Mus musculus: one gene and its partner. The protein of the gene in region 1 interacts with the protein of each later gene in a biochemical or structural test. Links are inferred from orthologs where the notes say so. Each region holds a gene or a part of one and is shown on either strand. Other genes may lie near its edges.

Evidence for each region.
Region 2: the proteins of Txnip (region 1) and Slc2a1 form a complex in vitro, tested with the Homo sapiens proteins (2 studies listed by BioGRID). The link is inferred for Mus musculus from reciprocal best matches to the Homo sapiens genes TXNIP and SLC2A1.

The regions. Positions count from the first base shown.
Region 1 is NC_000069.6:96,554,004-96,564,370, reverse strand, and holds Txnip (thioredoxin-interacting protein), read right to left. Parts: upstream 6,415-10,367; 5' UTR 6,136-6,414; coding exon 5,886-6,135; intron 5,483-5,885; coding exon 5,407-5,482; intron 5,302-5,406; coding exon 5,154-5,301; intron 5,039-5,153; coding exon 4,936-5,038; intron 4,783-4,935; coding exon 4,526-4,782; intron 4,434-4,525; coding exon 4,277-4,433; intron 4,164-4,276; coding exon 4,012-4,163; intron 3,893-4,011; coding exon 3,842-3,892; 3' UTR 2,514-3,841; downstream 1-2,513. UniProt on the Homo sapiens protein: May act as an oxidative stress mediator by inhibiting thioredoxin activity or by limiting its bioavailability.
Region 2 is NC_000070.6:119,125,884-119,135,513, reverse strand, and holds part of Slc2a1 (solute carrier family 2, facilitated glucose transporter member 1), read right to left. Parts: intron 5,227-9,630; exon of another isoform or gene 4,845-5,226; intron 4,592-4,844; exon of another isoform or gene 4,474-4,591; intron 4,317-4,473; exon of another isoform or gene 4,257-4,316; intron 3,945-4,256; exon of another isoform or gene 3,392-3,944; coding exon 3,231-3,391; intron 3,072-3,230; coding exon 2,831-3,071; intron 2,418-2,830; coding exon 2,255-2,417; intron 2,163-2,254; coding exon 1,975-2,162; intron 1,660-1,974; coding exon 1,555-1,659; intron 1,146-1,554; coding exon 1,044-1,145; intron 1-1,043. UniProt on the Homo sapiens protein: Facilitative glucose transporter, which is responsible for constitutive or basal glucose uptake. Has a very broad substrate specificity; can transport a wide range of aldoses including both pentoses and hexoses.

The DNA of each region.
Region 1 (10,367 bases):
CACTCAGTTCTCATAACAAGTCTGTGTACACAAAGATGCAGACCTTCCTGGTCTCTCCATCCCTTAGCCTGGCCCTCTTTCTCATTCTTGTCCCTGCTCCAACCCTCAAGTCCCTGGAAACCCAGCTGCATAAAAAACTTTTCCGTCAACTTTGACCTAGTTTCCTGATCGCAGCATTAAAGGGGAGGGGCTACTAAATGTTTGAACAGGTGAGAAATGGGGGAGGACTTCAGGTGAGAGTTTTCACAGCAATGGGGAGAGGTAGGTACCAGCACACTGTAAACAGACAAAAGGATCTCATGAATCTAAGATGCAGATCAGTTGGCAAAGTGTTTGCCCAGTGTAGACCGAGCCCGATTTCAGCCTCCAGCAGTGCATAAAGTGAGCGTGGAAACACTCGAATGCCTATGAATCCAGTGCTAGGAAGGTGGGGCCAGAGGGCCAGAAATTCAAGGTCACCCTGAAGACACAGCCTAGACTAAATGAAACCCAGTATCAAAAGACAAAGAAGGAAAAATGTCACCTGGCTTGGATAAAGGCACAGGCTGTGAGCTTGGTGACCTGTGTCTACAGAAGTCCTCTGACCTCCTGGGCACTGTGGTATACAGACACAAATGATTGTTCTTTTTATTTATTTATGTTTTATTGTTTATTTTATTTTTTGTTTGTTTGTTTTTGTTTTTTTGAGACAGGGTTTCTCTGTGTAGCCCTGGCTGTCCTGGAACTCACTTTGTAGACCAGGCTGGCCTTGACCTTAGAAATCTGCCTGCCTCTGCCTCCCGAGTGCTGGGATTAAAGGCGTGCGCCAGTGAGGCAGGAAAGTGACAGGTGCGCTATAGCGAATGAATGATAAAGATCAATTACTAGCGCAGAAAAGGATTTCTTTTTTTTTCAATTTCTGTTCAGTTCTGTGTTCACAGCTTTTTTTGTGTGATGTGTGGTTTTGTGGTTTGTTTGGGGGATAAAAGTGCTTGCTCTGTAGCCCTAGCAGACCTGGCGGTACCTGTGGCCAAGGCTGTCTTGAATTCTTGGCAATCCTCCTGCTTTTGCCTCTCAAATGCTGGGTTTTAGGTGTGCATGACCACAGCGAGCCTCCCCTTGGTTTCTAATACAGTGCTTCAGAGAGTGTACTGGTGTGTGGAGAGCTATGGAAAACCCATTTTGACGAAAAACATTTAGATGAACCAAAAACCAGAAAGAATGGTGTGATGTATTCTGCCATCTTTGTTTCTCATGTGTGTAGCTTTTTCCTGAACAAAATAACTTCAGTTAGCAGTGAAATGGTTTATCAGTCATCAATACCCTTCTAAGAAATAGAAAATTCCAAAACAGGTCCCAAGGAATCAGGGTAGACACTGAATTCTAATTATACGTTGAGAACTGTAAAGAGTCAGGCTGTGGTGGTAAACGCTAATCCCAGCATTCGGGGGACAGAGGAAAGTGGATCTCTGAGTTTGGGGTTAGCCTGATCTACAGAGCAGGACTACAGAGAAACCCTGTCTCAAAAAACACAATAATCTATAAAGACAGAAAACTGTAGCTGCTTCTAAAACATTTAATCCCTGTAACTAAAACCAAGTCTGAAATAGTTCCTCTTTGCAGCTTATAAACCAAGTTTATATTGGGGGAATTCTCAATAAAAACCAAGTGATGAATGAGACCGTGGTCTTCTAACCCCAGTGCTCGGGAGGCTGAGCCAGATTGCTTCCAGGTTAAGGCTAGCCTGAACTTGTCTCAAACCAAACCAAAAACTCCATTGCCACCAGTCATCCTGTTTTGGGGTAGGGTGGGCTGAGGCCTCTGCCAGTCAGAACCCATTCTCACTCTGGACTGTCTGCTGAGCTTTAGGGAACATCAGATCCACCGGAGCACACCAGGACTGCTTCCTGCCTCCCATCTGAGCAAACACCCATTTAATTTCCCTCACATTAATCTCCCAGTCCCTTTTCCCCACATCCTCCCTGCGTTTGTGTAAACAAAAGCTGCTCATTTGGATTTAACAAAAATAAAAATCTCACCCTGTCCCTTCCAAATCCCCTTAGTTATTTTTAAAGAATTCATAAACAGGGCAGAGAACTGGGCTCAGAGATGGCTCAGCAGTAAAAGACGCTTTCTGCGAAGCCTGAGGTCCTGGTCTCAGGGTCCCACAAAGTGGAGCTGACTTTTGCAAGGTGGGTTCTAAGCACCACATTCCCACCTGCATTCACACACACAAACTATGAAAACCTGAGCATGACACTGCGTGCTCTTGATGGCTGCACCAGAGGTTCAAGGCTATCCTCAGTCCCAGGAGCAAGCCTGATCCTGAAGGAGTTTTCTGACTATGGACGTGGTTAATTAGCTTCTACTACCAGACCCTACGGATTCCTCCGTCTGAACAGAGGCCAAACCAGCCGTTATGTCACTCAGCGTCAAGAGACTTCTCTCTCCACGGGCTTTCAGTATTGAGACAGGGGAACACTTTCTAGTAACTTCTCCAGTATCTCATAGACAAGAAAAGAACATTTATTTTTGTCATTAAAAAACTTTATTTTTTTTTACAAAGGATAACCCCACTTTGGGGTGAAAATATATTTGGATAAGTAGAAAATATAGTTTTTAATCATACAAAAAGATACACAAAATACAAAAACAACAAAACCGAAACCTCCATCAGCTCGCAGACATTCTGGCTGCACAGTTCTCAGGTGGAGCTGACACAGGACAAAGTGCTAAGGCTTAGTGAGCTTCCGAGCCAGGGCTGAGGCCACAGTGAAAGCAGCACTTTCTCCCAACACTGGACAGGAAATGGGGTCTGGGGGCTTCTGTGCCCCGATCAGTGCTGGGGCATCTCAATGTAGAATGTCACCCAGGCTCCAGCTGTCAACCACAACCCTTCACAGGATTAGTGTTAGAATTACACAAGTCTGTGCGTTGGGAGAAAGCCTCAAAAGCAATAACCAAGCTGGGCCTTTGATCGCAGCACTCAGGAGGCAGAGGCAGGTGGATCTCTCAGGCCAGCCTGGGTCTACAATGTTCAGGGATAGAGACCCTAACCCCCACCCTCCAAGTCACTGGGCTTAATCCTTAAGAGACTGGTGGAGCTTACATCTATAACGGAGACTAAAACAAAATTGACAAGCTAAAGTGCTAAGAACATCACCTTAGAATCAATTCCAAGGGGTTACAGGGAAATAACAGATTCTCCCATCTGATTATGCTTACAAGAGAACACAGTGCAACTGGCTGTAAAATGGCTTTTATGGCCGTCAGTGGGCACAGCTACTACTGCTCCCAGGGTGAAGTCAACTTGGAGCAGCTGCCCCGAATTTCACAGGCTGCGTGCTCACCAGCCGTGGAAGGTCTTTTCTTTGTAAAGATATAAAAAAGGAACACTGACTTTAAAAAACACACAAAAACACTCCTCTTACAAAATTTTGGCCATGACTTGAAATTGGCTCTGTCCCCCATGGCACAGATGATGGTCTACTGATATTTTAGACAATTTAAAAGTCCCTTTAAAACAAAAACCTTGGAAAGACAACGCCAGAAGGTCAGCAGTGCCCTGACTCAGTCAACACAAACAAGTTCTTCATTTCCAACATCCGAGAAAGTGGTCAGGTCTCAATTTTTCTAAGAGTGTTCTGACATCCACCCAGCAAACACTCCTATGCCACAGTGCGGGCACTGGTCTGCACCACTTGAAGCCGGAGACCCGCCTACTGATTGCCACCCATCTTGAGGAGTCAGCGGCTGGGGTGTACCCGTTCCCCGCTGTAGAGACTGAGTCTCTGAAACACTGGAGTTCAAGCAGAGAGGCAGAAAGAAATGCGCTAATACAGATGCTTCATTTCCTGCAGGCTCACTGCACGTTGTTGTTGTTGTTGTTGTTGTTAAGGACGCACGGATCCACCTGGAAGGGGAATAGAGAGGAAATTTTCAGGTTTTTTAGTTAAGTAGAAAACCCACATTAACCCTTCCTTCAAAAGGCCTAGGACAAAATGTTGACCCTGTGAGAATAGCAGTTCTCACCTCAGTGTAAGTGGGTGGGGGCATGAACTGGAACTCAGGGGCGTACATAAAGATAGGGCTGTCTTGAGAGTCGTCCACATCGTCCAGCAGAGGGGTGGTGGGGCTCTCTAGTCTGTGATCTTCAGGAATGATGTCCATATAGCAAGGAGGAGCTGAAGAGAGAAAACGGTGTCAGAAGTCCGACTAAGAAATAAATGCCAGGTCACCCCAACTCCACAAGCCCAAGCAGATCAAAATAACTCGAACCTATCCGGCTGCAGCTTACCTTCTGGGGTATCTGGGATGTTTAGGTCTATCCAGCTCATCTCAGAGCTCGTCCGGCTGGCCATGCTGGATGTCCGGCTGCTCAGACCAGACCTGCTGCCAATCACTAGGGGCAGATCAAGGATGACTTTCTTGGAGCCAGGGACACTGACGTAGATCTAGAGAGGAGGATGGCAGTTTGTTAGATGGGTTGAGTACAGAAAGCACTGAATTTGTAACCAGGTAATTGTCTCTCTTCTCACCCACTCACCAGCAAGGAGTATTCGACTTTGAGGATGTTGCAGCCCAGGATGGATGGTCTGATCTTCTGCACTCTGAGGCTCTTGCCACGCCACGATGCGCAAGTCCCTGAGATAATGTGATTGCCTCTGACTGAGGACAGCTTCTGAGTGAACACTTTGGTCTGGCCATTGGCAAGGTAAGTGTGTCGGGCCACAATAGCCGCTTTGGGGACCACGATTCGGGAACACGTGTTCTCAAAGTCAGCATGGATGGAGATGTCATCACCTAGAGTTAAAATAAAATGAGGAAGTATGAATAGCCATGCAAGTTAACAGCACTTCCTCTGCCTCTACCCTACGACCCTCTCCGTACCACCCCCAACCCCCCCACCCCCAGTTCTGGCTATCCTGTCTAGCATTTGAAGCAGTATGTTTTTACCTTCACAGAATCCTTTTCTGTCAATTCGAGCAGAGACTGACACACGTCCATCAGGAATGAACATGCAGGAAACTTTCTTCTCCTTTTTGGCAGACACTGGTGCCTGTGTAAAAGGAAATAATGTTTTGAGATATTTCAACCCCCATGCATCTAATTTATTATCCCTGACCAAGAAGAATTTTAAAACCTTTTTAAAAACAAAAACAAAAAATCCTCACCATTAGGTCAGGGGTATTGACATCCACTAGATCCATCACTTCGAAGTTTTTCTTTGCCTCTTGAGTTGGCTGGCTGGGGCGATCGAGAAAAGCCTTCACCCAGTAGTCTACGCAACCATATTTTCCTTTAAAGGATGTTCCCAGGGGCCTGTGTCAAAACAATGAACCAAAATTAAGGCTAAGAACTGTAAGAGATCAATGGAGGGGGAAGACTTAGAAATAAGAGTGCAAGGTGCACACGGTGGATGCCTACCCTTGAGGAAGCTCGAAGCCGAACTTGTACTCATATTTGTTTCCAGGCCTCATGATCACCATCTCGTTCTCACCTGCTGGGAAACAAAGACAAGGGGCCATTAGGCTTCTTGTTACATTTTGAAAGCGTCAATGAGGAGTGCCTGGGCAGTAGACTACCTTACTTCACTTCCACTTTCATCTCTTACACTATGGAAGAAAAGATCCCAGAGCACTTTCTTGGACAGAAAGTTGCGAAATCCACAAATACATTAATCTTTAAGTAGTAGCTAAGACAACACTTTCAGGAAACAGTACCTCAGAAAGTGTTCAAATCACTCTAGGGGGGTGAAGGGTAGTGAAAAACTTGCTAATTACAAAGTAAAAAAATATAGGGACCAACAGTTCAAACCATTCAAACGAACAACTCGAAACATTTAGTGGTGCCCTCCCCGACCCACAGACCTCCCAAGTCACCATCAGTCCTGCTGGGAGCAGTACCTGTAGGCTGCTCTTCTAGGAGAAGTGTGTCTTCATAGCGCAAGTAGTCCAAAGTCTGTTTGCACTGCTGAGACCCTTGCATCCACAGGACCTTGGCCACGCCGCAAGCCAGGATCCTGACGGCTTTGACTCGGGTAACTTCACACACTTCCACTATTACCCGTCCGGCCACCTTCTCCCCGCTGCCGTACACCTTCTCGGGGTCGTTGAAGACCACCTCAAAAGACTTGATCTTCTTGAACATCACCATGATTGAGCCGAGTGGGTTCAAGAAAAACGAAAGCCGGAGAGGAAAAAAATCTTTAAGAACCCTTCAAAGCAAACGAAGAGCTCGCCTCCGTAAAGTCAGGGCTTGAAAACCCAAACGAAAATGTAAAGAAAGCTTCAAACAAACCCTAACAACTTTTCCAAAAGGTGCCTGGAAGTTTCAGCCTGCCGGCTGTGCCAAAAGCTTTCAGGAGAAAAATAACAGCTGTCTTCCGCAACTGGAGAAACTCTGGAAACCCCGAGACCAGAGGAGGAGAGTGTCAAGCGGCTGCCGGAAACGGCTTATATAGCCGCCTGGCTTGGCGCTCCACGCGAGTGCTGGCCTGGAGGCTCGTGCAGCCCTCGTGCACAGTTCTCCCATTGGCTACTTGGCCCTTGTTTACCAGGCCTCCAACCAATCAGCGAGGCCGCCGGGGCGCGTGGACACGGTGTGCTCCTAGCGGGGAAAATGGTTGTTGTTCGGGTGCGCAGCCTTGCCAGCAGGAGGGGCGGGGCCCGGGGCGACGGGTGCCCTCCCTCCCCCCGGGAGGCTGGGACCCCGGGACCCTGAACCTCATCCAGGGGACTCCTCTTGGGAGCTGGGTTATTTGGGTGTGTGCTTTGTTTTTTTTTTCCCCCTTCTTTTTTTAGGTGAAAGAAAAATGTGCTTAGGAGAGGATTTCATGACTCGCCTGAGCCAGCGCAATTCATTTCGAGGTGACCATTTATTCCTGGCTCACAAGTTCGCAAGTCTTGTGAAAAACAATCCCATCGCACCGAGGATACTCCAGGATGGAGCGGAGGGCGAGAGTGCAGTCGTGTTAGTGAGAAAGAGCCCACCCGATATGCTCCTATTGCACTTCTATTGAAGAATAAAAGGCTGCGGTCTCTCCAGACGAGAACTTGTCAGATATTTTAAAGTCTGGCTTTCAGTCCTTTCTGGTGAATGCTCTGGTGGGTTCCCCTCATTTCCCCCTCATTTCATGCCCCTATGTGCTGCTACTGTTCCTCGCCCATTACATTCTATTCTGTTCTCTGGAGCGGAAGCAGTAAGGGAGTGTCCACATCCTGTTGCTTATCCCCTCATCTCTTCAGTGTACCTGTGAAGTTGGGGAACATTTTGTATATGTTCCCTTGTTCCTCACTGCAGCTTTGTGAGGTGTTTACTTTCACACTGATGGCTCCCCCGTCCTTGTTTCTCCAGGAAACAAGAGGTGGACAAACCAAAAAAATAAAATAAAAGAAAGAAAGAAAAAGGAAGAAAAAGAACCTCACTCCTTACTTTGTTTTCGAGTTCCTGTCATTCTTTTCCCCCCTCTGTCCTCTCTCCAAATTCACTAAATGAAATGCATGTCCCTAAGCCTGTTTCAATTTCACCGGCGCTGGAGCTGTGTTAGTTTCACTTAGTTATCTGGCAAACCTTGCTGAGAGATGCCTCAGGAGCTGACTAGAGAAATAACTCTTAAGTGTGCAAAGAAACTCTTGTGTGAAGGATTACCTGCAACCCCCTCCCCCTTCGCCCCCTACTCTATTCCCCACCCACCCACCCACTCCCACCCCCACCCCCACCCCGCGCCGGAGCCTTGTCATTGAGTCCTAAACTCCTTCCATATTTGGGCAGAATTATTAGGAGACTATCTATCTCCTTCCTTGCGCAGGAAAATAAAGATGATATAGCCCTGAGATTAAGATGGAGAAGTAAAAAGCGATTGCATGCCTGTTCACCGCTGTTCATAAACAACACCCCCAGCCCCCACCCCCGCGCGCCCTAACTGGGTTGACACCCTAAGGCTAACAAGTTACAACTGAACCTTAAGCAAGCACAGAGATGAACATCACACGGTTCAAAAACATATACACAACACCAAGGCCTAGGAACACCTTGATCCTTAGGGTGTGTTTGTTCCAGAAAGTTAACTAACTAGGCGTCAGGTGTTTTCCAACGATAAACAGTATTTATGAATACTGTAAGGGAGGTAGGTCGCTCACTAACTTCAGTTTCTCAGTGCCTGTAGCAGGCATCTGAGAAAACCTTAGCTTGATGGTATGAAATATCAAAATATACCGAAAGTTCATATATCGATGTTGTTAAATAGTGTGGTATGTAGCAACATAAGATTTAAAAATTTTGTAAGTATATGGCTGTTATTTTCTTCTACCACCTGTGTGCTTGCTGCAGGTGTCCGCCGATGCCTTAGAAGTGGAGTTAAGAGTTGTGAGCTGCCGTTTTTTGGTTCTGGGACTCGAACTCGTTTCCTCTGATACTATCAACCACCAAGCCATCTCTTCAGCCCCAGCTACATAAGACTTCAGGAGAACCAGAGAGATGGTGCCAGGCCTGCCAACCTGAGTTCAATAGCAGAACCCACACAGTAGCAAAAGAACCAACTCTGACCTCCCCTCTCCCCCTCCCCTCTCCTTCCCCTCTCCAGTAGTCACTCCAGAGACACCCAAAATAAAAAATTTAAATGTAAAAAAGTTCTTGTTTTTAAACCTTGAGGTCAGATGAAGGAGGGGAGGCTGCTAAGGGGTGAGAGGGTGCTGCCTTGGGCTGTCTCCTTGGAGGCAATGCTGATAGTTATTCGGTGTTGTCTATGGAGTATTGAATTCTTTAATTAAGGAAAAACCTGTGGACAGTTCTGTGTCCTGTCCCCTGCACGGCTATCGTTTCTTAATTTGCGGCGCTCAGCACAGACCACTTGTTTGTTCTGCGTTAGGCCAAAAATCTGTTTAACTCTGGCAGTGGCAGCTGCTTCCTGGGCCTATAGCCAAGGCTTGTTCTGAATTGGCTGCCTCCTGGAGTGGATTGTTTATAACCTTTCACCTGGTATTCTCATAGCAGTTTGTCCCTCTTCACTCTCTCTCTCTCTCACACACACACACACACACGCACACTCACACGCACATGCACATGTACGCACGTACCCATCTCAGTTCTTGGATGGAAGAAAAAAAAGTCTTATAAACAAAAACAGGGCAGAGGCTGTGGGTTCAGGGACAAGGACAGCTGTGCCCAGGGGGAGCAGAGGCTTGCAAGTTCAGTCTCAGCGCCAGTAGGAAGCCAGGAATGTTTGTCCTGTGTTTGTTTTACTCTAGACAACCGGGTGCCAAAGCTGGCAGTGCAGCCTTCACAGGAGGTGAAGCCAGGCCTGCAGGTCCTTATTCTCTCACCTCTGGCCCCCGCAGACAGTCAGAGCTAGGGATGCAAAACAGCTTGGTTTCTTAATCACTGTAAAATATGTCTTTTCCTTCATCTGCCTACTTCTTTCCTGTCTTTCCCTAAGAAGGTAGTTTAGGGGTGGGGGTTGTGAAATGAGTCTGTGGGATTTGAGACTACCCAGACTACTATACAGAGAAACCCTGTCTCGAAAAACCAAAAAAAAAGAATTCAAAGAGACTTTTTTTTTTTTTTGGACAAGGTTGCATGTGTCCCAGGCTGGCCCCAAACTTGCTATAATAGCCAAGGATGACCTCAAACCTGTTTTTTAAAAAAAAAAGACAGACAGGATTTGGGCTGGAGAGATGGCTCAGCAGTTAAGAGCTTCCAGAGGTCCTAAGTTCAATCCCCAGCAACCACATGGTGGTTCACAACCATCTATAGTGAGATCCGATGCCCTCTTCTGCCCCTGTCTCTGCTTCCACAGCACTGGAACTAAATGAGCAAGCCGGCCCTCTCCCAACTGAGGTTCATCAGCACACTTGTGCCAATGCTATTTTATTTGTAAAGTCAGCTACCTTCTCGTTTTAAACAGGATTTAAGGTTGGATTATTTCATTTAGTTCCCACAATAACCCAGTGGCTCACAGAAAGGCACCGTGATTTGCCCGAGGTCACAGGTTTCTGTAAGTACATCCAGAACTTCATCCTAGGCCTACCTGTTCTGTGCCAGGCAAGCAGGTGACTCACTCTTGTAACTCCAGTACTGGGAGAGTAAGGCAGAGGAGAGCCACCACTCCAGGACTAGCCTGGGCTATGTCGTGAGACATTTAATATTATTTACAAAGGAATGATATACAGATGGAGAATGAAAAGCAAAGAAGAGGCCCAATGGGCTGGAGAGGCAGCTCCGTGGTTAGGAGAAATTGTTGTTGCAGAGGACCCAGGTTTGGTTTTCCAGCACCCACGTGGAGGTTCCATACTTCCTCAGGCACCAGGCACAGATGTGAGCCTTGCCTCTCGGTGCTTTGACTTGTACCTTGTTTGATCTTTGCAATGGCATTGAAAGGATACAGGGCA
Region 2 (9,630 bases), on another chromosome or scaffold:
TCAGTAATTACCCCAGGATCATGCCTGCCTACCTGTGGCCTGCCATGCTCTCCAACATTATGGCTGTGGACTCTGGAATCATGAGCCCCCAAAGTAAAATGTTTTCTTTTATAAATTGCCTTAGTCATGGTGTCTTATTACAGCAATTAAAAAGCAACAGACACACCCAGGTGTCCTGTGCAGGGTCTCAGTCCCACAAGGATCTAGTCTATGCCCATCTTCTCGTGCTCTTGGACTCCAGGGGGCTTTTCCTTGCTTGGGTTGGACTCAGGGGAGGAGTGTGTGCAGTGATAGGCTGGGGACCTGGCCTGAGGTCAATGCTTAGCTTCATTCCTTATCCAGCCTGGGACTTTAGTTCGAGTGGGACGTGAGACGCTTCATAATCTGAAGCTGTCTGAGCAAGTCACATGACTCCAGAGGGAAAAGTCTACCTGACCACGTCTGATGCCAGTCAAAATACAGACATGATAAACATACCATGTGTGGAAGGCACATATGAAACAAATGAATTCTACTTTTAGACTTGAGTCCTAATCTGAAAGTAACTCACTGAATATATGCAGATATTCACAAATCTGGTTGAGCACTTCAGAGAAGCTCAAGCTGTAAAAACTAACATCACAGTTCCTAGTTTGGAGAATGGAGACAGGCGTGTTTGTGCACCTCTGTGGCAGTAAGGGGACCACTGTCCACTGAAGGTTGCTCTGGAGATGAACTGAGGCTTTCTAGGTAAAGGCTCTGTAAGGTTCAGCTTCAGGAGAGGCATTTCCATATGGAGCTTGGGTCTGTCTACATGTGCAGGAAATCCCCAGGCAGGGAAGAGAAAGATCGAGATGGGAGGAAACAACCTGAGAAGCAGAGGTCAGGCCCAGTCCAGGGGCACACTGACATGGGGCAACCGAGGCTGGGTGCAACATGGGTATTTATTTGGGATCTAAATCCAGGTATAATCTACAGCCATGGCACCTTGTACATGCCCGGTGTGCCTCAATCCAGGTCCCCACTCTACCTTGCACTGGGCCTTCCAGGGCACAGCCACTCACCAGCAAGGCCAGGGCGATGGTCATGAGCACAGCACAGCCTGCCATGCCAGCCAGGCCAATGAGGTGCAGGGTCCGTCGTCCAGCTCGCTCTACAACAAACAGCTGTGGGCAAGGAGAAAGACATGTTCTCAGCCTGGTGCCTCTTGGAGCCACCTGCCCAGAGGCTCACCTCAATAGCTAAATACAAGGAAATACATACACTAGTGGGGGAAATACCTCTCCCCACCAGGCTGAAGCTTGGGGGCCTTGTAGGGACCGAGGGAAGGAATATGCCTCTGAGCCCAACAGTACCAGGGTGAAAGGTACTGGTGATCAGAGAGCTAATGCACACAGGCTGTGAGCTTGGGAGAGCTCTTGCCTTCTCACCTCCCTGAGCATCTGTGACAGCTGCACGGGGTGAGTAATGAGCCTCACACGTTTACTGACATTAAGTCTGGCTCCCACAACAGGCTGCCATTCTGTCCTGATGCCCTGAACTGGACCCTGGCTGCCGACCAAAAGCGAGACTCACCGACACCACAGTGAAGGCCGTGTTGACGATACCGGAGCCGATGGTGGCGTACACAGGCTGCTGCACACCTGCCTTCTCGAAGATGCTCGTTGAGTAGTAGAACACCTGCCAGAAAGGGAGATCATTGGAGATCCTCCATGCTTATGGCCTTCTCCTTCCTCTGTACTAGTTACAAGTAGGTGTGGGACCCAAGGTGAGTGTGTGTGTGTGTGTGTGTGTGTGTGTGTGTGTGTGTGTGTTGGGGCATGGGGGATCAACACTTCCCAGGCAGGTGGATACTGCTGCAGGTTTTGGCTCCACAGGTACACTGCTTTGTGTACCCACGGGAAGAACTTAGTATTTCCCTCAGGACTCACTCGCGGTGCACACTTGAGCCTGGACTTGGCTGGGGCCACAGGAAGGGGTAGGTGGGGTACTCACAGCATTGATACCCGACAGCTGCTGGGACAGCTGCAGCACCACAGCGATGAGGATGGGCTGGCGGTAGGCGGGTGAGCGGAACAGCTCCAAGATGGTGACCTTCTTCTCCCGCATCATCTGCCGACCCTCTTCTTTCATCTCCTGCAGGTCTCGGGTCACATCGGCTGTCCCTCGAAGCTTCTTCAGCACTGGTGGGACCAGAGGGAAGGTGGGATGGCTCAGAGTGGGGAAAAGGCCCGAGCTCAGGGGGAGAGGGAGGAGGGCAGGGCCCAGCCCGTACCACTCTTGGCCCGGTTCTCCTCGTTACGATTGATGAGCAGGAAGCGGGGGCTCTCGGGGCAGAAGGGCAACAGGATACACTGTAGCAGGGCTGGGATGAAGATGACACTGAGCAGCAGAGGCCACAAGTCTGCATTGCCCATGATGGAGTCTAAGCCAAACACCTGGACAAAGAAACCAGGGACTGTGAGTGCCCTGCCCTGGCCCTACTCCAGTATCCATCCCAGCCACCAAGCGGGCTGTCCCTGTCTGCCCACCGGCTGCTGGGGGAGGGAAGGACCTTTCTTGTTCCCTCACCTGCAAAACCAGCTCAAACTATAAAGGACAAGCAAGGGACAACGCCACATATAAGTGTGCCCGGCACAGCATGTGGGGGTTGCTACTCAGCTATAGGAGTAAAAGATGGAGGATCCTCCAGGAGAGGAGTGCCATGCTCATGAAGGCTTCTAGGCCTGGAAGCCCAGGTGAAGGCCAAGGGCTCTTGTAGGCTGTGGGTCTGGGGGTCACTGTGCTCTGGGATCTGTCTACCATGAGGTTGTCCTAGGCTGGGCAGCAGGTAGACCCAGAACTGGCTTACCTGGGCAATAAGGATGCCAACGACGATTCCCAGCTGGTGCAGTGTGCCTAGGGCTCCACGTAGAGCTGTAGGTGACACCTCTCCCACATACATGGGCACAAAGCCAGTAGTCAGGCCGCAGTACACACCGATGATGAAGCGGCCCAGGATCAGCATCTCAAAGGACTTGCCCAGTTTGGAGAAGCCCATAAGCACAGCAGCCACAAAGGCCAACAGGTTCATCATCAGCATGGAGTTCCGCCTGAGGATGGGTCACAGGTCAGCCAGCTCCCGGGACCCCCAGACTTCCCAGGAATGAGGCCATAGTCAGGGATGTTTCTGCCACCCCACCTTCCCCCAGAACTCCCCAGACAGGATGACACAGGCTCCCCAAGGCAGGGCTGGAGCCTTTCTTGCTTACCTGCCAAAGCGATTAACAAAGAGGCCGACAGAGAAGGAACCAATCATGCCCCCGACAGAGAAGATGGCCACGGAGAGAGACCAAAGCGTGGTGAGTGTGGTGGATGGGATGGGCTCTCCGTAGCGGTGGTTCCATGTTTGATTGTAGAACTCCTCAATAACCTGCAGGGAGAAGGGCCTGGGTAGGTGGCTACTGTCTCACCATATCGCCAGGGCTTGGCTCTGCTGCAAACGTCCTCACAGTGCTCTCCAGCCAGGCCCCTTCTCCGCTTTACATAGGTTCAGTTTCTCCGGACGAAAAGAGGACTGGGCTCTCCCCCTCTCCTAAGGTGGTCAAGACTCTGAGGATGGTGGCCAAGGAGGACAGAGCAGCAAGGCACAGGGAAGAAAATGCTCCTTCTGCCTATCTGCCCCCTTCCAGATGGCTCTCAACATACTCTAGGCCACAGCTGTAGGCCCTGGGCCCTGCCCCGACCCCCTGCTGAGGAGGAAGCACAGCTAGGCAGACAGGTTATGCATCCTGCGAGCCTGACGAAGTGCGCACTCACTGACTCTGCAGTTTGAGCCTGCAGGACTAAGGACACGCTCTAAAGCACACTGTCACTTCTGTCTTCCAGGCCCAGTTCCCCTGTGGCTGGCTGGAAATGCCACCTGAAGAAGCCACCGCCTCTTTTCTTTTCCAGGTGCTCAGCTGATGATCAGGGAAAGGCCCCAGGCAAGGAAGTAGTTCTAGGAACTGGAGAATCTGTCCTGGTGTGGGCCTGCTCTCTAGCCCTGCCCCCACACCAGAGGGCCTAACCTGGTGCCAAGGATATAGCCATGGGCAGGTGGCACTGGTTCTGACACACTCACCACACTGTCAGGCAACACGGACAACACCCAGTGCCACAGCCTAGCCAGACCCACCCAGCACACATGTACCACGGACAAGCCCAAGTACACATGGGGAACCAACTTTCTAGGTCCACACCCTGTCATGACAGGGCAGAGCTTTTATTTCACTTCACTTCTTCTTTCTTTGAAACAGGGTCTCAGGAACTCACAGCAACCCTCCAGCCTCAGCCTTTTGAATGTTAGGATTATAAATGTGAGTGACTGTGCCTGGATCATATTGTACTCACAAGGCTCTGGGTTTCGGCCAGTCTCTCTCTCACACACACACACACACACACACACACACACACACACACACACACACACACCCCTTATCACCTGCAGCTCTCACACAAGCCATTCCCTCCCAGGTGCACACGGCAAGCTCCTGAGCATGGAACTGCACATCGTCTCTTCACAGCCATTCCATTTCCAGTCCTGATCTACACCCTCAAGTGCAGCAGAAAGGAATAGGTGCAGAAAGGAAAGGTGAGCAGCACTTTGCCAAGGTAAGTGTGTGGGAGTGGGGCGGCCCTCGTCCCTCATCATCTTTACCCCTGCTTGGTCATCATGATTTGTGTGTCAAGTCCAGAGACGGAGCCAGGCTCAGGCTTAGAACAGACTGGGAAAAGGTGGCCTAAGCACCTGCTATACAAGGGAAGCCAGACAGTGCAGGGCTCAGCAGCTAGTTCTGAATGGAAACGTAATGAGTTCTAATCCCAGGTCACTCCTTTGCTCCCAGCTGACTGTGGGCACTCACTGTGAGCAGCCGTGAGCTCCAACCGCCTCTTCTCTAATGCCGACTTCAGCATTGTGCTTATGCATCACTTAAAGGGGGCCCATTCTGAGAAATGTGTTATTAGGTGATTCCACTGTACGAACATCAGAGTGCATTTGGAATAAAACTAAATGCTGTGGGCCACTCAGGGCTCTTGATGCAATTAAGGGATGGCAAACATGAGACACGCCAGGATGCTGGCATGTAACCCAGAAGGGTGTTTCAGGGCAAACTGTTCTAGTATGCAGAAGGAACTCACTGGGAAATTATGATAAAAATATACCCAATAAACTAATAATGGCTATGTCTATTACCATCTTATAATTATTAAAAGTTTTATTCTAAATCATGTGTATATCTGTATGTGGGTTATGTGCACCTGAGTACAGGTGCTCATGTGGGCCAAAAGGGGGTGTCAGATGTCCCAGGGCTGGAGGTATAAGAAGTTGGCAGCTGCCTAGTTTGGGTACTAGGAACTAAACCTAAGTTCTCTGCAAGAAAATCGTGCTCTGCACCCCTGAGCCATCCCTCCAGCCATTACTGTCATCAGCATATATGGTACTTTTTGAACATGACCGTGCATGCTAAACATGTTGTTTCTGTTGTAGTGAAGACTAAATTTGGGATCCTGGGTACACTAGACAAGGGCTCTAGTGCTTGCCTGTTTAGCCTTGTGCTAAACTTTTATGCCTGGCAGCACGGTGGGTAGGTTTACAGACCTATGAGTAACGCTGTTATGCCAATGTTGCTAGATCACAGAGCTATTTTCTACATGGCTTTGTTTTGCAGTGCTGGGGATAAACTCAGGGCCTTGCACATGCTGGTCATATGCTCTACCACTGAGCTACTTTCCAGCTGTTATGGTATTACAGGATAGCCATTCTGTACATACCGTCTGTCACTGAAAAGTCTTTATGTGGCCCATGACTGCTTCCTCTACAGTGCTAGAGGAAACTGAGGAAACATACTTATGGTACCTACCACACAGTACTGGACCCAGTTCATTGAAAACCACTGTCAAAGTCTGACTACATCCTCCTGACAAAATTCCACAGAGAGGGTCATGCCCCATTCAGTCCCTGCTCCGATGGCCATCTTCCAGTTTACATCCCATCCCTGCTACCACTCCTGCCTCTGAGATCCAGCCCAGGCCAGGGGCCAGAGCCAGTGGTAGGGGTACCTTGAGTCAACAAAGGGTCTTAGGCTCTCTTCTAGAAAACCTTGGTCCTACAGGGGTCAGAGACTGGGCCAAGTTGGACAAGCAAAACAAAGTGCTTGTGTTCTTCAAGGGACACACAGCCCAGAGAGCTGCTGGAAAGGCAAGGTCCCATTTATCAGGCTCTGTAGGGGACAGGCTGTTCTGAATAAGAAGCTGCAGAGATAAAAAGTGCTTCTCCAGGGCCCAGAGCTGGGAACTGGGGCTCCTTCCCTTTGGTTGTACAGGGTGACCAAATAGACCCACAAGCAGAATTGAACGGTAATGGGGGCCTTTCCCTGTAGGCAAAACACTCATACACATAAAAAATTTTTGAGATAGGGTCTCTCTATGTAGCACTGGCTGTACTGAAATTCTCTATACAGACACCAGGCTGTCCTTGAACTCAGAGATCTGCTTGCCCCTGCCTCCCAAGTACTTGGGACTAAAGGCATATGCCATCGCAATTGATTAAAAAATACTTTTTTGAAACTGGCTAATGGAGCTTACTTGAACTGTGTGCAAATGGTAGATCTGTGCAGAGTAAGTCAGCTAAGACTGAAGAGAAGCTGCCTGCATGAACTTAAGGGCGAGCACTGAGCCTCTCTCTCTTCCTCCAGCTCAGGTCTTTAGCTTTCCTCACAGAAGCAGCGAAGTGATAAGGTGCTCCCAACCTCTCCCACCCACATGCAGGGAAGCTGCTGGCCTGGGTTGTCAGCAGTGAGCCAAAGCTCACTCTCCCGCTCCTTCCTCTCTGTTGCCGAGTCCTCTGCCGGGCAGCACGGGCACCAGCTTCCTATACTGTAACAGCGGTCCCACCCAGGCTCAGGGACAGCAGAGGCTGAGCAGTGGGCTTCCTATCAGAATCAGGAATACTGTCTGAGCCTGGCTTTCCAGTCCTGCTGCTCTGAGACTCCTTCTGTAAGGTTCACATGAGGCTCCAAGCTCACACTGGCTCAGGGAAGACAGAGCAGCCCCAGAGAATCCAGAGAATTCTCTATGGGGGAAAAGTTCTAGGGCCACCTGTTCCATCCAGCTACTGCCCTCAGTGTCCATCTGGGAGAAAGGTGTCCTGCAGGGACAGAATGCCTGCTGACTACTCCCCTCATAGGATCCCAGCGGTAGCTGCCTGTCCTACCCCTTGTGCCAATCACAAGCCCAAATGTTATCCCTGACGCTGCCACTGTGCCCAACCCAAACGTCCCAGGTCTGCTGAATGTGCCTTCCCACCAGTCTCCTGTGCTGTGTGGCATCTGTCCTAGGTCCCTCCTGTGTTCTGTGTTCTGTTGCAGTCTTTCACCCCCAAAGCAATGCCTTTACATGGGTAATGAACTAGCACAGTCCTCCACTCTTCCTTGTAGGGAACATCTGAAGCAAACTGACCTAGACCAGTTAGAGGCGACAGTCTGGGTTCAACAGGCCTCCTGGGAAGGGCTGGAGCCACACATGGCTCGCACTTGCTTTTCAGAGAATCCTTTTACAGTGTAGAACCACTGGGCTGGAGCTGTGATGCAACCTGACATCTCTTGCAGATTCTGTTCCCAGCACCCAATGGCAGCTCACAGCCACCTGCAATCCCAAGTCTAGGGACCTCATGCTCTTTTTGAGCCTCCATGAGCACGTGGTGCCGACATGTATGCAGGCAAAACGCCCTCCAAATGTAAAATAACAAAACAAAAATAAAACGTGAAACCATTTCTTCCTGGGTTCATGCTGATGAGATAGGGAAAGAGCTAATCAGTTGAAAGATCTGTTGTGGAGTTGGCCTGTCACGAGGGCTGACATCTTAGAGATGCTCTGTTAGTGCAGAGGGTACTCGGGCTTCCTTGACCACACTCATGGGAAGTGCGTTGGCTCTGTGCAGCTGAGGTCCCTGGGCTGGGACAGCTTGCAAAAAAGAGCTACTCCACACTACCTGTTCCCTTAGTGAGGCGGGGGACCTGCACATGCCCAAGAGCTTCTTGGAAATCCTAAGACCCAGGCAACTGTGTGTGCGATGCCTGCTCTCTACAGAGGAAGTGAGCACTTCCTCTCTGTGGTGGCAGGGTGGTGTCTGTAAAGGGATGTGAGGCAGAACACGTAGCCTGCTCACAGAATAAGGCGTTATTGATGCCATTTGTGCTCCCCAGGAGAGAAGCCACCTTTCAGAGAGAAGCAAGAGGGAGGGGATCTAAGGTGTGACCTAAGGTGTGACCACTTAGCACACCAGGACCTCTGCTCAAGCCTCAGAGCAGCAAAAACAATCAAAATTAAAAACAAAAACCAAAAACCCTAAACCACAGGGGAGCACTGAGATAGGGTTCCCGGCTTACATTGCCAGGGGCTATGTAAGCTATATGGGGCAAGAAGAACCTGAGGGAACTAGGGCTTGACTCAGAAACCCTAAGGTTCTGTGGCCCCCGAGAGCAGAAGCCCTGGGCTCTTGGGTTTTTGATAAGTGGCTCCCCCACCTCAGGAAGGGTGAGTGACCCAGAGCCATGTGAGGAAACATTCATAGGAAGGCTAAGTCTGAAGCCACATACAGCCTCTGTCACTTGCTTTTCTTTCAACCCTTTCAACATGTGAAAGGCTTACAGGCCACATGGGGTGCTGGCTAGCCTGGCCACCCTGCTGAACTGACCCAGGATTTGAGACTGCGGCAGAGCTGTGTTTGGGGACCTCTGGCTCCTCCCAGTACCTATCCTTGGATATTCTGCTTCCGGGCCTGAATCTTCTCTCCCATCCCAGAGTGATCCCCTCAGCTCTTCCCCCATGTTCTGTGGGGATATGGCCCTTCTTATAGGCCCACCATCTTCCCTCTCTCTTACAAGGAGGAAAGGGTCAAATTGTCCAGCTGTCTCTCAGTCTGGTCTTGACCCGTACTCCCAGCCTCTCATCTTTGCTAGGCCCCTGAACCTCTTTCCCTCAGCTCAGCCCAGAGCTCAGATGTCTCTATAACAGTGCAACCACACCTGAGAGTCAGCTATGAACCCAGGGCCAGATGTTGCAGGTGGGGCTGGACAGTCCCACCCGCTGCATCTCCAGAGCCCCCTCTGAAACCTAAAGGAAGAGGCTCAGGTTAAAGCTGAGAGCAGCAGCAGCAGTGAAGGATGCTTCAGAGTCTAGAATTGGTCTTCTTCCTCACCAAGGACAGGCCTCTCTGCCCTGGCTAGTGGGTCCCTTCCCTGCTCTACAGCCTGGAGGGGCTTCTCACACAGACACAGAGAGAGCTTCACCTCACTGTGGCAGCCCAGCAGCCAGGGCCACCTCAGCCCTCAGGATGAAGAGTTTCTTCAGCAGCACTCTGACTCATATCCTCTGGGCAGACAGTAACACCCACATCTCAGACTGCTCTTTCCTTCTATTTGATCACCTTTCAGGGAATGCAGTTCCCCTCTGGGAAGTTCCCCTGGCCAGCACCCCTCCTCCATCAAAGTATGTCTACAGTGCCTGCGGTCACACTGGCTGCTGGCATCCTACTACTGAATACAGGACAGCCCATCACAATAAATACCAAAGGGCTGTCCAGTGCAAAGTACCCGTGGTGCTAAGGTTGAAAAACATCATTAGGGCCAA